2 linked regions of the Solanum lycopersicum genome follow. The main gene of each other region encodes a partner of the protein of the gene in region 2 in a complex. Links are inferred from orthologs where the notes say so. Each region holds a gene or a part of one and is shown on either strand. Other genes may lie near its edges.

Region 1 (3,843 bases), on a different chromosome or scaffold from region 2:
ATTACCTCTCGTCTTCGATTCCAACACTCTTCTTGAGTGACTTCTTAATTATTTTATTAAATTTAGTAACTTTTGAGTTATCAAATAAAGTTGAGTGATTTTCTATGTAAATCATTTTAAATTGAGTAAATTTGTAAGTGAGTTATTCAAAATTGAGTGATTATTATCTCTCAGTTTTATCAAAGGAGCAGGTTCTCTTTATCAGTTTTCCCTGTAATGTTTTAACAACATCTTCAATTCTTTCTGGAGATCTATCAAAGACATGGTTCCTACGTATCACTATTTTTTGTACACAAATTGCCACTTGTACAATGTTTATCAGTCAATAAAAAACTATGCAGTCTTGAATGTAAATTCAGAGATGATATCTTTTGTAGCTTTAAGCCAAAATTCTTTCCAATCTCCTCAACCAGGGAGGGAACATATTGGCCATTATTATTATTTTTTAATTTTATTTTTGAAGACAACGGGATTTCACAGTCACTATTCTTTGGGTGCGCACAAGGTAATTTTTTCGCTCTTATGCAATAGCTCACTACTTGCAAGCCTGCTGCAATGAGTTCGACCCAAAAGGCAAACTTCTTGCTTTCGCTGGCAGGGGGTTTCAAACATGCAAGTCCCAAGGTCAAACTACTGATCCAACCCAAAGGGTTAACAATTTGGCTATTATTGAAGTAATTTTTGATTTCGTGATGTGTATGCCATGAATCTTGTTAAAAGAGCATTGCATGACTTGCTAGTAGCAAATACAAAAAGAGAACTGATTCTGTACAGTGCAAATGTTGACATTGTGACAGTTCATTAAGACAACATTTTGAAGGGGAAATCTGAGTTTTGCAACATAACACTGAATTAAGGCAAAACAGCCATGTTGTATAGAACTGGAAATCATATATTGTATATACATAACTGGGAAGCATCATAAAATTTGTTCTTAGCACATATAAAGATGATCATTTGACCAACTGTTCCTTCTTCCCAGCTTCTTCAAGCTCTCGAAGACTCCCAACCTTTTGTTCAATCTCCTCTATCAGTTCATCACGCCACAGCTCTGCTCTCGCTTCTTCTTCGATGTCTTCTTGCTGCACAATCACAAAATCAGATTTGTAGTATCATTCACTACACAAATATCATGGCATTCCACCTTGTAAAGATATCTATATATCTTGAATAGGACATTTAGGTGCCAAAATTCATGTTGAAACAAATTCAGACAATTCGAAACTAGCTAGTATGATTTTGACATTTATATGCATAAAATTATTTCAGTAAAGTTTTATTTTAGAAACGAGAGATGTTCTTTTAATGGAAAAAACATTCACATCAAGAATTCAGGATTTAGACTACAATTAACTCTTTAAAAACCTTTTTTTCACCTGTCAAAGCTAAAACTCGCATGTGAGGTATAAACTATGATAATCCATGTTTTATCCGTGTGTTTGGTTGGAGGTATTAAGCAGTTCTGAGATTATTTATGATAAGTTATCACATTTACATGATCAAATAATTAATTCGTATAATTAATCCTAATATAACTTGTTCCCAACCAAACGACATATTAACTGAAACCTATAAACATTTCTCTGTCGCGAACAAGAAAGGGTATTTTTCCCTTTTGATTTTCTAACCTTGATAGAAAACGGAAAAGAAAAACTGTACCTTCTCATAGACCCAATGTCCAGTACCATCACCTCCATCTCCTCTGTATTGTTCTGAATCATAGTAAGGATCCTAAAAGAAAAAAGACACATAATAATGAGATACAACTCAATTTTATGAAGTTTAATTTCAAAAATTTTACTTTGGTAGAACCGAAGAAACAGCATCCCCAAACAGTGAACATGATGTAAAATGTATCTACAATGGAGAAAAAATTAGGTGTGAGAATTTTGAATTAGAATGATAAAAATGAATTAGTAAGTAATGATTACTCACAGACATTCTTCATGGCTTCATCACTAAGATGCCAAACAGATTTATGAGTTATGAGGTCTCTTTGACCTTCCATATGCTCAACTAATACTGCCATTAATGGCCAATCTGGGAGTGCCTTCACCCTATTTCTTTCAATCTAATCATAGAAATCCACAGCATTAATTATGCTTTTGCAAACCATACTTGTTCAAATCAATAATAACATGTAAAACCTACCTGGTGCCTCCTGCCTGCATTATTTCCAAAAGGTGAGGTTGGACAATGCCTTAGCTGCTGAGAAAGTGAAAAGAGGTAATTAGTTAAGCAGAATTAATTATAAAAAGATTGAATTTGAGATACAAGTAATGGTTTTAACTGATTTACTGAAAGGGTGCAGCAATTCCGATGTAGGACTAGGAATAGAGGGTTTGATGAATGTGAAGCTCATGATTTGAGTTTGGGATAGTTATTTTTGGGTTCCTCTATTCCTTTTATCCGAGTTATAAGGTTAGGAAAACACATAAGAAAAACACACGGTTCATCTATTCCCTTTATCCGAGTTATAAGGTTAAGAAAACACATAAGAAAAACACACTCTTCTGCTTACTCACAACTATTATTTTCTCAAACAATTTTGGTTTTGTCTTATTCTTCCTTTACCACACATCATACGCATCTTGGATATTGGAATTTAAATCATTGGGATATTTGCTACACTCAATACTTATTTAGCATAAAACTTATTAGAAACATTTATAATTAATGTAGGTGTAAATTACAAAAAATTATATATTATTTTATGTATCATAGAAGATATAACTAAAATATAAATAAGTAATACATAAAAAATGTATTTTCATTACTAATGTTAACATAAAATTATAACTAAAAAGAATTAAAAATATAGAAAAGGGTCTAAAATACCTTCGAAATATTGAAAATGGTACACAATTACCCTCCATCCATCTATTGGCCCCCAAATACCCTTCACACCCACCCTTGGGTCTAAATTTACCCATTCATTAACAAACCAAAATTAAAAATAATTAAATAATAATTTTTAATTACGTGGCACTCAACCATTGATTGTAATTTAATTATTTAAAATAATTTTAAACCCACCTATTTTAACTAAATCCGCCCACTTGACCCAATTTTAAAAATAACCATCTAATTAAAATATGCTAAAACCTTATTCCTCCCATTTTCACAATTTTCATGACTCCATTGTCTTTTCTTCTTCATGAAGAAATTTCCAGCTTCTTCTTCGATTTCTTGCCCTGAAGAACTTCAAAAGGATAATAAAATCCATCACTCCCCCCCCCCCCCTCACCCCCACTTTTTTTTTTTCAACACACACACATCACCTTCCTCTTTTTTCTTTGCAGATCAAGAAACCAGAGCAACTTATAAATAAAAAGTATTATCACTAACTAAAGTCTCCTAATTGCTTAACATCCATCTCTATCTTTCATTATCTTTCCTCTTATTCTACTCACTCTTCACCTTAATTCTTAAAACATTTTCCTAAGATTAAACCATTGAACTAGCTGAATTAAATCAAACAGTAATGCCATTACTGTTTGATTTAATTCAGCTAGTTCAATGGTTTAATCTTAGGAAAATTCAGCTAGTTCAATACCATTTTAATTTTGTGACATTTCTTAAGCATTTGAATTGATCTGGCAAATTGTGTTATCTTTCAAGGAAGATCGAAACGGGATGATGGTAGATGGGCGTGGCAAGATACCCTTCATCGTGATAGTCGTTCCAGTAGTAGCAGCAGGCGTTATGAGCCTTCACCATTGCCAAAGTTTCTTGGTGCTTCACCTGATTCTCGACTCGTTTTCCCATGGCTCGGCGATCATACTCCTCATTCTGCTGGTATGGTGTCTGTGAATTCTAACACTGGCGTTGTTTCGTAAAAAT
Region 2 (3,568 bases):
TTACTAGCCTCCATACTTTATGGTGGATTTTTTTTTTATATATATATTTTTGGTACACTTTTAAGACAGTATCAAGAACTTCTAATGCTATCTAACAGTATCAACTCCTTATCTAAAAAATTATTCCTTCCTTTAATTTATTTGGGTGGGGGGGGGGGGGGGGGGGGGGGTTTAGAGGAAGCATATTGAATCTTCACAAGTCACTATTAGTATATAAATAGCTTCAATAAGAGTTTCAAATTCATCATCAATTCAACAAGTTATCAATTCTCTTATATTACATTAATCTTTTTTTTTCATTAATTAAAAATGGAGTCATTGAAAAAAATGGTAGCTGAAAAGCCAGTGGTTATGTTTAGCAAAAGCAAGTGTTGTATGTGTCACACTATAAAGACACTTATATCAAGTTTTGGTGCTAATTTAACTGTATATGAATTGGATGAACTTCCCAATGGGCTACAAGTGGAGCGAGCTCTGCTGATGCTAGGCCGAAGGCCTAGCGTGCCAGCAGTGTTTATTGGACAAGAATTAATTGGCGGTGCCAATGAGATTATGAGTCTTCATCTAGAGGGAAATCTTGTTCCTCTACTCATGAAAGCTAAAGCTCTTTGGCTATAGTGTGTATATATATATATACACTTTTTTTTTTGCTTTACATATCTAGTATGCGAAATTTACTGGCATGATTAGTTCAGACTCACGCTAGTAAAACTACAATATATCATGTAGAAAGTGCATATTAACACCTTGTAAGTTTGGTTTTTCTTAATGTTTGTGGAATTGAGCATCTTTTATTTAGTATGCTCAATGAAAACTCTGTTTTCTCAAACAAGTGTCTTTTAATGTATCTTTAAGCATTGTAATAATAAATTATATACAATGCCATACTTCAACATGACTTGTCATTCTGTTTTAATTATTTTTGTTAGATGCTTGAGTATGAAGTTGTGTTTCCTCGAGATGTGAATCCAGGATTTAAAGTTTGTAAATTCGGAATCTATTCAAAAAAGTAAAATATGTGATATTTGTATAATGATCCTGCCTTGTGAATTGAAAGCAAGATAGATTTAAAAAGGGTTAAAAGAACAACTTGGCTCTCTTTTATTTGCCACAAAAAAGAAAATAAATTACATTGACCTCCACTTCAACAATTCAAAAAACAAGTTACGAGTTAGCTCATCCTATAAAATTAGTTTAAATATATGTCAGCTAACTTGAATATCATGATAATTATATAAAAAGGAAAATATAGAGACAAGGGGTGTGTTGCGTTCCGAACACTAACTCACAAACTCATTCTTTTTGCCACCCAACTCCCAAGGAGTATGATTGTATTTATAGGTGGCAATGAGCGGGTAAGACTGAATTTGTTCGGGTTAAAAATGAGCTGAGTTAATAAATAGACAGGTCATTGATCCGCCCAAAAGTTACTTGGACTGAAATGGACTAAAACGTGGATCATAACTCAACCTGTCCAACTTACTTTTATAATTTTTTTAGTACCTTAAAGAATGTATATAAATTGTCTTGAAGTTAAAGAGTACAAACGTCAAAAATCAAAATTATTGATATTTCACAAATGTAGACAAAAAAGCAAACAAAATGTTTAGTTATTTCCTCAACCACACAGAAAGACAAGGTGATGAGAAAGCCCCTCCCTCTAAGACTACTCAAATCAGACACAAAACAAATTTCCAATTCCATGGCGTCAGCAACAGCTCCACCAGCTCCATTCACCTTTCTTACAAGGAACCAAACCAATAATGAGCACAGAACAGATACCAGATGGTTGACAACAAAACAAAGAAGACGCCGTGTTGGCTTACAAGTTTATGCAAAAGAAGAAGGGGCTACTGGGCGACAACGTGCTCCTCCTGGTGTTGACACAAGAATTCACTGGGAAAACGAAGATGAAGGATGGGTAGGAGAGAGTAAGTCACGGTCCACACAAGAACGAATCAAAACAGACGAAAAGAATCTCTTTGATGAAAAATTCTCAGACCTCCTCAACAGTTCAGCTAATTCTCACTACCAGTTAGTCTTCATTATCTACTTTGCTATCTTCATCTTATCTCTTAATGTGTGGCTCACAGTTCATAATTCTAATGTTTCAAATTCAGGTTCTTGGGAGTATCTGCAACAGCTGATCTAGAGGAAATTAAAGCTGCATATAGGAGGCTATCAAAGGAGTATCATCCAGACACAACTAATCTTCCTATAAGAGCAGCATCAGAGAAATTTATGAAACTAAGAGAAATTTATGATGTCCTGAGTGATGAGGAACAACGGCGATTCTATGATTGGACACTAGCTCAGGAGACAGCAAGTCGAGAAGCAGAGAAAATGAAAATGAGGCTGCAAGATCCACGCATGCTGGAAGTAGAAAACTGGGAATCTGTTCCAGACATGGTGGATCGACTTGGTGGAAGGAACATGGAGCTGAGTAATCAGGCAAAAACTGCCCTCACATTTGATATCTTGATTATCATCTTTTCGTTTTGCTGCATTATATATGCAGTAGTCTTCAAGGAACAATATTAACAGGAACAACTATGTGCATTATACAACAACAATATTCTATACTGTCAATACGCAGTTCATACACTGCAATGACAATGGATTGGGAAACAGAACGACTAGAGCTTTAGTCATAAGTATAACTATAGTTTATTTCTATTGAGATTACAAATTTACACTATTGTCTTTTCATGAGATTATTGACAGCAAATGAAGAAACAATTCTCTCATACATCAATAAAATCTTTCATGATGGGGCTATGTTTCTCAATGTTAGCCTGCCTACGCCAATTACTCACTGCATGCTTAACGGTGTCACTGGCTTTCTGTATTTCCTCAGCAGAAAATTTGTGTTCCACAATGCCTAGTGGACCAGGTTGTAGTACCTTAACTACAGTTTCCATATCCAGCTCCAGTTGCCTGTTAAAACAAACACCAAAATAATGCTGAAAGACATGGAAATTCATATTCACAATTTGATCTTTGTGTCTCATTCTGGTCTAAAAGAGAATATTAGGAAAATCCAATTGAAGAGTGCTTTGAAGCGCACGTTCCTATCAATCTGCATTTAGATACCTACTCTTCAATCAATAAATAATAACAAAGAACAAGAAAACACCAACGGTCATGCTAATTGCTAAATAGAAACAAGAGTTTCTCGTTTCTTGATAACACAACTCCGTAATTCTCAAGAGTTTGATAACAACTCCGTAATTCTCAAGAGTTTGATAAGTTCTAAAATTTCACTTACTCTTCAAATATCAAATGAATTAACTAATGTAATCCTACAACAGAAGTTGGCACCTTCTCTCAACCAAAAAGGAAAAGAATACTTCTATGTTATAATAGTATTAAACTGCCATACACATTGTTTTCTGTAAGATATAGAACTCCCAACACTTGGACCTTTTTCCTCATAAATGTGGTTCTGGTCCAAGCTTGTGCCACACTGACTAATTCCACTGGGTACCAGCTACTTCTCACCAGTGCAGGTACCAGATAACTCTGCCCAAGCTCATGAATACAAGTTATGCTTTGGAATGAAAGACAA

Evidence for each region.
Region 1: NAD(P)H-quinone oxidoreductase subunit T, chloroplastic (region 2) and photosynthetic NDH subunit of subcomplex B 4, chloroplastic share a complex: the UniProt entries of both Arabidopsis thaliana proteins name them as parts of the chloroplast NDH complex. The link is inferred for Solanum lycopersicum from reciprocal best matches to the Arabidopsis thaliana genes NdhT and PnsB4.

What each region holds. Positions count from the first base shown.
Region 1 is NC_090811.1:46,151,157-46,154,999, forward strand, and holds photosynthetic NDH subunit of subcomplex B 4, chloroplastic, read right to left. Parts: upstream 2,578-3,843; 5' UTR 2,363-2,577; coding exon 2,291-2,362; intron 2,209-2,290; coding exon 2,152-2,208; intron 2,072-2,151; coding exon 1,936-2,071; intron 1,858-1,935; coding exon 1,802-1,857; intron 1,732-1,801; coding exon 1,660-1,731; intron 1,083-1,659; coding exon 954-1,082; 3' UTR 833-953; downstream 1-832. UniProt on the Arabidopsis thaliana protein: NDH shuttles electrons from NAD(P)H:plastoquinone, via FMN and iron-sulfur (Fe-S) centers, to quinones in the photosynthetic chain and possibly in a chloroplast respiratory chain.
Region 2 is NC_090808.1:63,749,776-63,753,343, forward strand, and holds NAD(P)H-quinone oxidoreductase subunit T, chloroplastic, read left to right. Parts: upstream 1-1,265; 5' UTR 1,266-1,642; coding exon 1,643-2,034; intron 2,035-2,120; coding exon 2,121-2,541; 3' UTR 2,542-2,744; downstream 2,745-3,568. Other genes in the region: monothiol glutaredoxin-S2-like, read left to right, coding at 310-618; uncharacterized protein, read right to left, coding at 2,745-2,937. UniProt on the Arabidopsis thaliana protein: NDH shuttles electrons from NAD(P)H:plastoquinone, via FMN and iron-sulfur (Fe-S) centers, to quinones in the photosynthetic chain and possibly in a chloroplast respiratory chain.